Macaca mulatta: one gene and its partners. The protein of the gene in region 1 purifies or fractionates together with the protein of each later gene. This does not show direct contact. Links are inferred from orthologs where the notes say so. Each region holds a gene or a part of one and is shown in the gene's direction. Other genes may lie near its edges.

Region 1 (4,876 bases):
GCCTTCCTATCAAGGGAGGCATGGTTGAAGGGCTGCAGAGAGAGCTGTACCCAGGCTTCACATTTAAAAGAATATGGAAAACTCATTACTTATGACATTGACTGAGTTCAAATCCTGGTTTTTCCACATACTAGTGTGTACTCTTAGCCAAGTTATTTCTTCCATTGTTTATTAAAACATAACTTCTGTTTTTAAAGGAAGTCATACATACACATGGTCAAAAACTCTGACAACAGGATTTGGCGAAACTTTCTCAGAAGTTTTCTAGGCATGTATAACACATTTCCTTTTTTTTTTTTTTTAACATAAATGTACCATACATCATGTTCTTTTATCTTTCTTAACACCTCTTAAAATATTATTTTCTTACGGGCTTTGTAGTATTTTGTTTGAATGGATGTATCTTATTTACTGAAAGAGTCCTGTTAACAAACACATAGGTTGTTTTCTGGTTGGAGTTAGGACCGAACAATCTTTGATGAACATCTTTGATCACTTGTACAAGTTTGACAGGATAAACTCCTAGGAGGGCTGCTGGGTCCAAGGCTGTGGTCATTTTCGATTTGAGTAAGTATTACCAAAAGCGCAAGTTATTTAAGTGAGCCCTGATTCGCTCTTCTTTGTAAACAGTGGACAATAATGAGCTTCTCAAACGTTTCTTATAAGGATTAAATGAGATGGGGATGTAAAAGCCCAGTATATAGCAAGCAGGCTGTCAATGAATATTGGCCTCCATCTTTTTTTATGGAGAAAGACAACTATTTATGCATATTATGACGACTATAGCTTAACCATGAGCTCAACAAACACAAAAATTCACAGAAAATTCTGCGATACCGTATCTATTTTAAACCACATTATTGAATGTAACTAGTGAAACCTCAGGTCAAATAGAATGTATTTAAGGAGACACAAACTTGACATTAACTCTAAATACCAGAGTATTGAAGATTTGATAGTTGTCTCTTCTTACAAATATATCCCTCATAATAAAAAAGCACTCCACTAATATGCCAATTATGATACATCTTCCAGTTGTGTTTTGTCCTTGAGCGAAAAATCTTGCTGCTCAATTCAAGTCATTCGTTTATTCATAACACCCATATATATATCTCCAACTCTGGAGAGAAACACTGACAGAAAGATGGAAAATTTTAGAGCCCTCATTTCCACTTCAGAGAGCCTGTTGTCCCCTAAACCTCTTGGGCCCTCGGGCATTTTTAAACTTATCAAGATTCCAGAATGAGGTTAATGGGACGTCACAAAACGAACCCCCCACCGTCCCGTCCCAGGGGCTCCAAGCCAGGACCCCAGCCTGAGGGAGCCTCCGGGCAGGAGAAAGAGGCCCAGGAAGCCATTGCTCCGTTCCTTCCCGGCTGTTTACGTGGCACTCAAAGTACTCGGCCAAGGGCACGGCGACCCCGCAACACCCTCGGCGTGGGGCAAAGACAGCGGGGTTGCGGGGCTCCTGTCTGCCGGGAGCGTCGAGAGTTCCTGCCCCCCCGCCCGCCTCATGCACGGAAAGCCCCGAGCCACGGCGTGCGGCGCTGGCCGAGCGTGAACCGGAGTCGGGTTCGGCTCCCCCGAGCGGCTGTGCGGGCCGCGGAGCGCTTCCTGTGGGGCGGCCACGCAGGGTGCGGGCCATGGCCCGGGGCGCCTGTCCGGATCCCGCCGCCGCGCGGGACGCAGCCCCCGTCCTCGACCCAGGGCGCCCGGCGGCGGCGGCAGCGACTGCCCGGGGCGGCGGCGCGGCGCGGCGCAGCGCGGGGGCGGCCAGGAGGCGAGGAGGCCGGGCCGCGGCCGAGGGCCCAGGGCGCGCTTCCGCCGGGCGCCGCGCGCGCCGCGGTAAAAGGGAGGCTCGGCCGGCAGGGGCGGGGGCCGCGCAGCCGGGGACTTTCAGGAACTGCAGGAGCGGGCGGCGCGGGAGTAGCCGAGCGCCCAGCGGCTGGGCCTGAGCGTCGAGACTCGGGGCCGAGGCGGAGGAGCGGCCGCCGCGCCGGGGCCCAGCCGGAGCCGCCGCCCTCGCCCTTGCCTTCGTCCGCGCGGCTCAGAATCACCATCCGCGGCGCGGGAGACAAGCCGGCCGTCCCGGGCCGGGGGACCCGCCCGCCATGGCCACCAAGGTGAGGGGCGCGCAGCGCAGGCCCGGCCGGTCGCTCAGGCCCGCGGCGGCGCGGGGACGGTCGGGGCTGGGGCCGCGGGGAGGGTTGGGGCCGGGGGCGGCCGAGGGGCCACTCTGCGTCCTCGGTGGGGTCCCCGGGCGGGTCCGCGGCCCAGCCAGTCCCTTCTGGGCATGGGTGCGGCGGACCGTGCAGACGGCCGGGATCGCGCCGGGGGAGGGCGTCGGGTCTGGGCGCGGGTTGGGACCCCGGGTGCAGCGACGTTTGGGAAGTTTGCACCTGAGCTTGGGCTGCGGCGGGCTCGCCGGGAGGGGCCGCGAGAGCGGGACGGAAACTTCCCGCAGCCCGGGGAGGCCCCCGAGGCGACAGGCTCTCTGTGGCGTCCGGTGTCCCCGCGGCGTCTGGCGTCCCCGCCGCCCCCACGTCCCCTCCCGCTGCCGCCCAGGGGACCCTCGGCCCCGTGGGGCGGGTGGGGGTCGAGACCTCAGCAGAGAGGACGCTGCGCTTCCCGTCCCGGCCTGCGGGAGCTCGCGGCCGGGGAGAGACAGAGGCTGGGACACCCCGCGCCCCTCTGCCTTCTCTGCTGTTATTTTTTTCTTTTGTTTTGCTACCTGCTCAGTGTGAATGGTATTGCCGGCATGAATAAAATATCAAGAGGGAAATGACTGTGCTTTCGATTACGTGTTTGCCTAAAAAAGGCCCAGGCCCGAATTACGTGGTGGAACTTTGACTCCTGCTTGGTAATTGGCTAGGAGCGGTGGTTTGCTTGTTTTGCATTATTGTTTATGAAATTAGCAGTCACTCTTTGCTACCTGAATCTTCAAAAGCCACCCTCCCCCACTCCTTTTCCTTGGGCGTTTTCAGTAGTTACTTGGTGTAAAATAGTCACTGGGGAGTCATGGTCGCGGAAGGAGGACCTGGGGGAGGAGGCTCTGTACCTGAACCATTAACTGTTCTGTGATACGCTGTGAGGAGTAGGTTTACTTTTGCACTTAGTTTTTGTAGTGTCACTTTATTAGCATCAGCACCCCTTTCCCTATTTTTTTTTTTTTTTTTTGAGATCTCTGACTACTTTTGGGTTGCTAGAAACGTTATTTTTTATATTTCGATAGCTATTTGCTTTTTTTGGTGGAGTGTTAAGGTAGGAAATGGTAAGAAATGTGAAATCTGTTTAAAAGATCAGCGTTGCTTGACTTCGGTCTGCTAGATGTCCTGTGGTAAATTTTGTGCTCTGAATCCATCTAGGTGCAGCGTTTATAGAGAAGTGGGGATTCTCCTCCAGGGAACCTGTTGCTGCTGTTACTGAAATAATTACCTTCTTGTTAATATATTATTGCCTGTGCTGTGCTTTGGTTTTATTAATGTGATAGAACTTGCCACCTTTTGAACTTATTAATTTTGTGTTGACCTTTTTAAAAATAAAACTTAGGCCAAGGATTTCTAAGGAAATTTGATTTTGAGGTTTGTTGCCAGACACTCCAGAAATTACCAGTTACACATCCTAGTACACGCTCATCTTGCAACCTTAACAGCGGTTTATAGGCTGGGCGCGGCGGCTCACTCCCACCTGTAATTCCAGCACTTTGGGAGGCCGCGGTGGGCGGTTCACCTGAGGTCGGAGCTCCATACAGCCTGGCCAATATGGTGAAACTCCGTCTCTACTAAAAATACAAAAATTAGCTGGGCGTGGTGGCGCGCGCCTGTAGCCCCAGCTGCTCCGGGAGGCCGAGGCAGGAGAATCGCTTGAACCCGGGAGGCGGAGGTTGCAGTGAGCCAAGATGGCGTCGCTGCACTCCGGCCTGGGCTACAGAGCGAGGAGACTCCGTTTGAAAAAAAAAAAAAAAACCAAGGCGGTGTATGACATAGAGATCTGTCCAGTGGTGGTCTGTGTGTTTTTACACTCTGGTCTACTGAGGCATGTTACCTGTACTGTCCTTTAAGTGGAATGCAGTTTAGCAACTAGTGCAGGTATACGTAGTGAAATTTTTATTTCATAGTTAAGCCTGAACTTAATTTTTTTTTTCAAAAAATTGAAAAGTGGTTCTTGTATATTAATCTTGAATTGCATGTGTCTTTGCTTAAACACGAGCCTTAAAACATGCATAAGCACTTCCTACTTCGTTATCTACACCACTCCGAAGGCAAATTCCAGTAATTCTGTTAGTTTCTTTCGCTGTCTAATCACTGTTCCACATGGTGCTCATTTCCATGTCTACATTGTGACAGACCATTTCCATTTTAAGAAAAAGAAGAGCAATGAAGCAGTTGTTAGAAGAAGACCCTTCCTTAGTTTTCTGACATCCTGGTGATACTTGGGTCAAACCAAAGTCTCATTTTTTAATTGTCCCCAGAGAGACAAGTTGCTACTTTCCTCACTTGCCCCATATACACACCCCTTCCCCACACCTGAGTAGTTCTGTTTTTTTTCTTCGTCTTCTTCAAGGGGTGGGGAGAATGTGCTTAGTAGTAATGACTAATTTTTAATAAATGGCTCCAGTGGCACTCAGGCTGTTGCTGTAAGTATTAAGTGATGAAAAGTAAATTCAGGATCTGGATATTTTAGGGGATGTTCATTTCCCTTTGAATTTACCAGAAACTTGGCTATAGTATCTTCAGATACAATTTTCTTGTTTGTTCTTAAGTATTTTCTTAAGGATGTGGTTATCACTGAACTATTGGCATTTTAAAAAACTGCACTAGTATATTTTACAATAGAAAAGGAAATTATCATTTAGAAGAAGTAGTTTAGTTGAACA
Region 2 (4,374 bases), on another chromosome or scaffold:
GTCTCCAAAAAAAAAAAAAAAAAGCAAAGAACTCTCAAAATTTATTTTTCCAACTAGAAGAGGGAGAGGGAAATATGGAGTCTTCATCTTATGAATAAAATATGCTAATAGAATTTATTTTATCTATAAAATTGAATTTCCATAGTAACATTAATTTTAAATGAAAACATACTTAAAAGAACAATGAAACCACATCATCATCATCATAGATGGGTGTTGGAAATTTATTTATATAGATTCACCGTAAGTCATAAGTATGGATTTCTTAAGTTCATACTGAAATGTGATAGAACTGGGCATGAACAAATTTGTTAATTCTATACAATTCTCCTTCTTACCATTTCAAAACTTGCATGAATGAAATAAGCTCTGATTTTGAGAGATTTAAAAAATTGATTTAATTAGAAAGGATTTATTTAGAAAGAAGTTTTTAAAGATTGTAGCTGTTTCATCTTATTTAAACCACCAGAGTAACAAACTACACAAAGCTACTTTTTAGTTTCTAAATTTACATGCTTGCCCCTAAAAAGGGAAGAATAATTGAGACAGGAAGAATGGGGGGTATTAAAAGTAAATATAAACTGGTTTTTCAGTGCTCCCTTTCTTTCGCAGGTAAAAACAAATGGAATCTCTGGTGTCAAACGAGAATCACCGTTAAAGATTGACCCATTTGAAGATCTGTCATTTAATCTGCTTGCTGTATCAAAGGCTCAGCTATCTGTTCAAACGTCACCTGTTCCAACCCCAGACCCAAAGAGGTTGATTCAGTTGCCTTCTGTAACGCAAAGTAATGTTAATACTTTGAGTTCTGTGAGTTGCATGCCAACAATGCCTCCAATTCCAGCTCGGAGTCAGTCCCAGGAAAATATGCGAAGTTCTCCAAACCCGTTTATTACCGGCTTGACCAGGACAAATCCTTTCAGTGACAGGACTGCTGCTCCTGGAAACCCATTTAAAGCCAAGTCTCAAGAATCAGAGGCAACTTCATGGTTCTCCAAAGAAGAGCCCGTTACTATCAATCCTTTCCCTTCTCTGCAGCCTCTCAGTCATAACGAAGGCAAGGCTTCATCTTCACTTGATGGCTTTAAGGAAAGTTTTGATCTACAGGGGCAGTCTACATTAACAATTAGCAACCCAAAAGGATGGGTAACCTTTGAGGAAGAAGAGGACTTTGGTGTGAAAGGGAAGTCAAAGTCAGCTTGTTCAGATTTACTGGGTAATCTGCCAAGTTCATTTTCCAGCTCCAACCTGACATTGAATGATGACTGGAATAAAGGTACAAATGTCTCTTTCTGTGTGTTGCCATCAAGAAGACCTCCTCCACCTCCTGTCCCTCTGCTCCTGCCTGGCACCAGCCCTCCAGTAGATCCTTTCACGACCTTGGCCTCTAAGGCTTCGCCCACACTGGACTTTACAGAAAGATAACGCCACGCAACAGAAGACAGTGGGTATTTGCTTTTGGCAGGTAGAGCCAAGAGAATTGGGCATTCGTATTTCATTATGTGCAATAAGTCATTGTAAGTGCACTGATATCTTCACAAAACACCACTATTTGATGTGTACAGAGTTGGAATATGTGTATATTGGAAATAAGGAAAAACCCTTCTCATTGTTAACTGGAGTTTTGATGTATTTCTCTTTGGATGAATAGGAGACAGTAGTAGCCATAAAAAGTGCTTAAAACTACTTTAGAAAACAGTCCTTATTCAGAAACTTTTCGGTCAGGCTTCTGAAGAATCTCAAAAAAGCCCACCCAACTTTCAGCTGACATTTCCACCAGCCCTCTCATACTTGTTAACAATTGGTTATCTATGAGTATTTACCAAAGAGCTGCCAAGGTTACAGTGAACAGTTTTGAAAGGCATTGCTTTAAAGGAAAAAAGTATAGGTATGTGTACATATATAATACATACAAACACATATACTTCCATATACATTTATATATTTTCACAATTCATAGTTTAATTTCTAGGATATAACTCAGACCAAATTATACCTAAAAGTTCCAAGAGAGTCCCTTTCTCAATATCACATTACCAAAAAGATGGCTGCAATGTAATTTGGACCTTTCATTAATTTTGTTTTCAAAACTAGAATAATCTCACCACAGAATCAGAATTTTCTACCATTCCACACCCAACACCTTCAAATACACACAACCTTGTTACTTTTTACTCCAGCGCTTTCATATGCTTTTCTCCAGGAGGAGGTTCTTGCCGCTGGAAACAGCCTATTTTGTGGTCACTGTCAAGTGGATGGATATTCTAGTGCTCCCAAAAAAGCACTATGGCCTTATATGCAGGGAAGGCACATACCACCAAGTTCAAGGAGAAATATTAGAGCTAACCGTACTCTCTTCTCTGCGTACATTTGAATGTACGTTGCCTGTATCCCTCCCATATTTTCTTTTTGCTGCTTTTGCTCTGGAACTTTGCTTTTAGCAGGGAAAGCAGCCATCCCCTGAGTGCTTTGAATTGGGGATATATCCACTGTGTTCTCCCCCCTCTTACGAGGCTACATAACACATCTCTGATGCTGCTTTAAGTTTTTAGAGGCTATACCTCAAATTAGCTGTGGATTTTGTCTCCTGCACTGCCAATATGCAACTGATCCCGCTTTTATTAATTTTATGAAGAAGTACACAGAATTTTTACAGAATGTAGTATTTTGATATCATTAAGTAAACCAATCAGAAAACTCCTTGAGCAATAGTTGTTTCTTTGTCAGTTTCCATTACAATCATCTTTACCCATTAAGACTTACATTAGCGTTCCTTTTATATAAAGAGTTGTATATGTCCACCTAAATTCCTATGTCCACACTTAACCTTTAAAGATGTACATTGAGGGAATATAAAAAAATAGCGTTCATGGCTACGAATATGTAAAATGTTAAAAGCACAGCAAACTGCACTGCACTTAGACATAAAGCAAATCTATTAGGAAAAAAAAGCATTTTTCTAAATGCTCAAATGTTATCAAAATACTATATTTATAGAAGTAATCTTCTCTGTTAACAGCCAGGATTTGCTGTTAGAAATAACTCTTGTGAGTTTTACATTGTGCTTTTTGGAGGTTCTAATCATTTCAGCAGTAGTGTCTTTTAAACAGCAGTATTACTATAAGCAGTATGCTTCAAAATGTGAATTAACTTGTTGAAATTGTGGCTTTAACATCCATGTGACTCGTGTATATGGTATTTGCTCTCCATTAGCAAAATAATTCATTGTTAGGTAAACTTCACTAGTGCAAATTGCAGTTCTGTGAGCAATGTTTCCTATTGGATATAAACTACTGTCTAAAATATACATATCAGCAGCCCAGCCTTTATCAGGAAATTACACTTGGCAAGTTGCTGAAAATGCACAAAGTTATGAAAGTTAAAGGTATGCTGCAAATAACTAGCCATTATTCTGTGTATTATTAAATATTTACTAGTTCTGTTAAAAGCAGAGCAGAAGTTAGACACTAAGATCTCTTTGTGAACTCTGTGTTCTCTATATTAGATTGCTGTTTATATGTAAGATTTTATTGCTTATGTGGCATACAATATTTATAATGATAAACTTTATAGAAGTACAGTATTAAAGTCAGTGGTACACAGACATTCTGTACATATCCTGTGAAACGTGCTGTCATATGAAATAAATATATCTGTCTTTACCATGCTGACTTCTTTGTTCGAAAGGGAAGAATTTTTCTCAGCCATTTTCCGTGTACTTTACATACACAAGTTTAGTGACGTTCAAACTAAATAAGCCTAACCCTTATTGCCGAATCAGGTATTTTAATTCAAGACCTTATTTTCATTTCTCCAGATAGTGCTTCCTCTAAAAGTAAGAAGAAAGATTTTCTGAGATTACTAATCATTATTAAAAAGTCCATGCCCAGCCTCGCCAACATGGTGAAACCCTGTCTCTACTAAAAATACAAAAAAAAAAAAAAAAAAAATTAGCCAGGTGTGGTGGCGCAGGCCTGTAATCCCAGCTACTGGGGAGGCTGAGGCAGGAGAATGGCTACAACCTGGGAGGCAGAGGTTGCAGTGAGCCAAGATCGTGCCATTGCACTCCAGCCTGGGCGACAAGAGCGAAACTCTTTCTGGGGAAAAGAAAAAAAAAAAAAGAAGGTCCATGCACTTACTCCATAAGAGAGGCCCTAACTCAAAATCATGCTGACTTGAAAATAATACATGAAATATGAATTATTTTTCTTACCCAAAGCAGAAGGAACAACTGGGGGGCAAAAAGGAATTGGGACACAACCAGACAGAAAAAGGGACTGACTAAAAAGACCCAAAGTAAAAGGCCAGGGCCGGGTGTGGTGGCTCATGCCTATAATCCCAGCACTTTGGGAGGCCAAGATGGGTGGATCATGA
Region 3 (4,305 bases), on another chromosome or scaffold:
AGGCGGCAGGAATTCTTATTAACCCATCTTCCCAATGAGGAAACTGAGGCTGAGAGAGAGGAAGGGACTTGCACAGGTCACACAGCTGGGAAATGAGCTGGCCTCAGGCATGGTGACCCCAAAGTCTGGGCATGCCCTTAACCCCCAGGGAGGGTGGGGCTTTGCCCATCTGCCCTCACCATCCGCCCTGTCTTGCAGGAATGTCTATAAGGATTATCGGCAGCTGGAGCTGGCCTGTGAGACACAGGAGGAGGTGGACAGCTGGAAGGCCTCCTTCCTGAGGGCTGGCGTATACCCTGAGCGTGTTGGGGTGAGTGGCAGGGCAAGGAGAGGAGGGGCAAGCATGATCCTAAGGCCCCTGGGGCACCATCCTCAGTGATGCCAAGTCACGTCATGTTTCCGAGCCCTTATTTGGCTCAGAAATAATAGGAATCCTGGCCGGGCGCGGTGGCTCAAGCCTGTAATCCCAGCACTTTGGGAGGCCGAGGCGGGTGGATCACGAGGTCAGGAGATCGAGACTATCCTGGCTAACATGGTGAAACCCCGTCTCTACTAAAAATACAAAAAACTAGCCGGGCGTGGTGGCGGCCGCCTGTAGTCTCAGCTACTTGGGAGGCTGAGGCGGGAGAATGGCGTGAACCCGGGAGGCGGAGCTTGCAGTGAGCCGAGATCACGCCACTGCACTCCAGCCTGGGAGACACAGCGAGACTCCGTCTCAAAAAAAAAAAAATAGGAATCCTTCCCCCTACCCACTCTGGGGGTGGGAACAGAGATAAGTCTCCTGGTCCTCCCATCCTTCTCCAGTGGCAGTTTCACGTCTCTGTCTCTGTTGCAGATGGCATTTCTATATTCCCCTTTCTATGATGGTGGTTTCTTGTGACTGCCTTCTCTTTCCTCCCCTATTTCACTGTGGCAATGTCTAGAGTAGCCTGAGAGTTGGGGTGCAGTGTCCCCAGGTTCACTCAATCTCTCCCCTTTTCCTCTCTGTATGTTTCCTTTGGCTGTGCTCCCTGGTGGTGGTGGTGGTGACAATGTTGGTGTGTGGGCCTCCCAGGACAAAGAGAAAGTGAGTATGCCCTTCTCTTGCCTCCTGTCAGGCATCTGCAGCCTGGCACCAGCTCCAGCCAGGTTTTCAAGCAAGGGACCAGGAGATGTTCTTTTCTAATTTCTGGATTGGGGCCAGGCGCAGTGGCTCGCGCCTGTAAACCCAACACTTTGGGAGGCCGAGGTGGGCCGATCATGAGGTCAGGAGTTTGAGACCAGCCTGGCAACACGGTGAAACTCCATCTCTACTAAAAATAACAAAAGTTAGCCAGGCATGGTGGTGCGCACCTGTAATCCCAGCTACTCAGGAGGCTGAGGCAGGACAATCGCTTGAACCTGGGAGGCAGAGGATGCAATGAACCAAGACAGCACCACTGCCCTCCAGCCTGGGCGACAGAGCAAGACTCTCTCAAAATAATAATAATAATAATTTCTGGATTGGGAAATTGAGGCAAATTCTAGGCACTAGAGTCAGAACCAAGACAAGGCTGAATCAGGGGAGTCTAGGGTCCTGAGAGGCACAGGGATGGAGAGCCTGGTGTGTGTTCAGGCCAGTTGCTTCTCTCTGTGCCTCAATGTTCTGGGTACCTTTGGAGGGGCTGAGATCCTGGCGATGCCTGGAGCCTGGCTGCGTGGCCTGGCCACCCTGATGCCCTTGTGTTCTCCATGGCAGGCCAGTGAGACCGAGGAGAATGGCTCCGACAGCTTCATGCATTCCATGGACCCACAGCTGGAACGGCAAGTGGAGACCATCCGGAATCTTGTGGACTCGTACATGGCCATTGTCAACAAGACCGTGCGGGACCTCATGCCCAAAACCATCATGCACCTCATGATTAACAATGTGCGTGCTCCGCCGCATGGGGGCAGGGAAGTCCTGTGGCACTGGGGACGCAGGTGGCCATGTTGGCCTGGGGGAGATGCCAACCAGCCCTGTGGGACCAGGTCCAGGGAGGGAGGCACGGTCCAGACCAGAGCTGTCCGATAGAAATATAATGAGGGTCTGAGCACAGTGGCTCACACCTGGAATCCCGGCACTGTGGGAGGTCAAGGCAGGCGGAACACTTGAGGTCAGGGGTTCAAGACCAGCCTGGCCAACATGGTGAAACCCCGTCTCTACTAAAAATAGAAAAATTAGCTAGGTGTGGTAGCGTGAGCCTGTAATCACAGCTACTTGGGAGGCTGAGACAGGAGAATCACTTGAACCCGGGAGGTGGAGGTTGCAGTGGGCGGAGGTTGCAGTGAGCTGAGATCCTGCCACTGTACTCCAGCCTGGCCGACAGAGCGAGATTCCATCTCAAAAAAAAGAAAAAAGAAAAAAGAGAAAAGAAAGAAATATAATGAGGGGCTGGGCATGGTGGCTCATAACTGTAATCCCAGCACTTTGGGAGGCCAAGGCAGGAGGATCACTTGAGCCCAGGAGTTCAAGACCAGCTTGGGCAACACAGTGAGACCTCGTCTCTACACAGAAATTTTAAAGAATAGCTGGGGTTGGCTGGGTGCGGCGGCTCATGCCTGTAATCCCAGCACTTTGGGAGGCCAAGGTGGGCGGATCACCTGAGGTTGGAAGTTTGAGACCAGCCTGACCAACATGGAGAAACTCCGTCTCTATTAAAAATACAAAATTAGCCGGTCACGGTGGTGCATGCCTGTAATCCCAGCTACTCGGGAGGCTGAGGCAGGAGAATTGCTTGAACCCGGGAGGTGGAGGTTGCGGTGAGCCAAGATTGTGCCATTGCACTCCAGCCTGGGCAACAAGAGCAAAACTCCCTCTCAAAAAAAAAAAAAAAAAAAAAAAAAAAAAAAAAAAATATATATATATATATATATATATATATATATATATATATAAAGAAAAGCTGGGGTTGGTGGTAGCACGTGCCTGTAGTCCTAGCTACTGGAGAGGCTGACATTGGAAGATAACTTTGAGCCCAGGAGGTTGAGGCTACAGTGAGTTGTAATCTTGCCACTGTACTCCAGCCTGGCGACAGAGCGAGACCCTATCTCAAAAAAAAAACAAAAACAAAGAAAATCAAAACAAAAACTGAGTAGACAAGTGTTCTGGTGGCGTGATAGGTCCTAAGTCCCCTCCCGGATCTGTGACCTTAGTCAGGTGACTTTTCCTGTAGACCTCAGTGTCCTCATCTGAGCGAGAAAAGCGCGGTGGGGAGGCGAATCTTCCAGTCTACGCAGTGTAGGAGCCGCGTGGGAAAAGCCATACCAGCTCACAGTCCCGTGGGGGGCCGTGGGGGCCGGCCGGGTGGGGCGGCCAGGGCGGCACAGGCATCAAGTCCCCACCTCCTTCCCTCTTTGCCTACTCGCAGACCAAGGAGTTCATCTTCTCGGAGCTGCTGGCCAACCTGTACTCGTGTGGGGACCAGAACACGCTGATGGAGGAGTCGGCGGAGCAGGCACAGCGGCGCGACGAGATGCTGCGCATGTACCACGCTCTGAAGGAGGCGCTCAGCATCATCGGCGACATCAATACGACCACCGTCAGCACGCCCATGCCCCCGCCCGTGGACGACTCCTGGCTGCAGGTGCAGAGCGTACCGGCCGGACGCAGGTACCAGGGCCGGCCCCCACGGCCCCAAAGCCCCCCAGCCCGGGGCCCACGGGAGGAGTGCCGGGACCGGGCAGTGGCGCGCCCGCGTCACCGGGCGGCTCCCACCTGGAGCGAGGGGCGGAGCTTAGAGAGGGCGGGGCTTGCCGCGGGGCGGGGCTTGCCGTGGAGAGCTGGCTGCGAGGCGGGGTGGAGCTGGGACGTTGGCGCCGCTGGGGGCGGGGCTTAAGCTCCGGCGACCGCCTCGGGGCACGGCAGGGAGGGGCTTTGCGTGCATGGGCGTGGCAAGCACTGGGCTGGGGCGGGGCCTCAGTGTGGGCGGAGCCGCTCATCTCGCCTCTCCTTGTTTCTCGCTGCCTGTCGCCCTCAGGTCGCCCACGTCCAGCCCCACGCCGCAGCGCCGAGCCCCCGCCGTGCCCCCAGCCCGGCCCGGGTCGCGGGGCCCTGCTCCTGGGCCTCCGCCTGCTGGGTCCGCCCTGGGGGGGGCGCCCCCCGTGCCCTCCAGGCCGGGGGCTTCCCCTGACCCTTTCGGCCCTCCCCCTCAGGTGCCCTCGCGCCCCAACCGCGCCCCGCCCGGGGTCCCCAGGTGAGTAGGGGCTGAATGCGGCTGGAGAGGCTGCCGGACGGGCGTGGCCGGGAGGGAAATGGGGCTGGATTCCAGAGCATCGGACCCGGCCGCCAGAACCGGCCGTTTCCAT

Evidence for each region. Proteins that work in one complex are often made in the same cells at the same time.
Region 2: the proteins of SNX9 (region 1) and SYNJ1 purify together in Homo sapiens (co-immunoprecipitation; 3 studies listed by BioGRID and IntAct, counting the BioPlex papers as one, with this or other methods). This does not show direct contact. The link is inferred for Macaca mulatta from reciprocal best matches to the Homo sapiens genes SNX9 and SYNJ1.
Region 3: the proteins of SNX9 (region 1) and DNM1 purify together in Homo sapiens (co-immunoprecipitation; 6 studies listed by BioGRID and IntAct, counting the BioPlex papers as one, with this or other methods). This does not show direct contact. The link is inferred for Macaca mulatta from reciprocal best matches to the Homo sapiens genes SNX9 and DNM1.

Annotation. Positions count from the first base shown.
Region 1 is NC_133409.1:76,688,904-76,693,779, forward strand, and holds the start of SNX9 (sorting nexin-9), read left to right. Parts: upstream 1-1,899; 5' UTR 1,900-2,111; coding exon 2,112-2,123; intron 2,124-4,876. UniProt on the Homo sapiens protein: Involved in endocytosis and intracellular vesicle trafficking, both during interphase and at the end of mitosis. Required for efficient progress through mitosis and cytokinesis. Required for normal formation of the cleavage furrow at the end of mitosis.
Region 2 is NC_133408.1:14,731,296-14,735,669, forward strand, and holds the end of SYNJ1 (synaptojanin-1), read left to right. Parts: intron 1-612; coding exon 613-1,425; 3' UTR 1,426-3,663; downstream 3,664-4,374. UniProt on the Homo sapiens protein: Phosphatase that acts on various phosphoinositides, including phosphatidylinositol 4-phosphate, phosphatidylinositol (4,5)-bisphosphate and phosphatidylinositol (3,4,5)-trisphosphate. Has a role in clathrin-mediated endocytosis.
Region 3 is NC_133420.1:19,437,571-19,441,875, reverse strand, and holds part of DNM1 (dynamin-1), read left to right. Parts: intron 1-198; coding exon 199-310; exon of another isoform or gene 311-314; intron 315-1,054; coding exon 1,055-1,066; intron 1,067-1,717; coding exon 1,718-1,888; intron 1,889-3,368; coding exon 3,369-3,610; intron 3,611-3,977; coding exon 3,978-4,193; coding exon of another isoform or gene 4,194-4,197; intron 4,198-4,305. UniProt on the Homo sapiens protein: Catalyzes the hydrolysis of GTP and utilizes this energy to mediate vesicle scission and participates in many forms of endocytosis, such as clathrin-mediated endocytosis or synaptic vesicle endocytosis as well as rapid endocytosis (RE).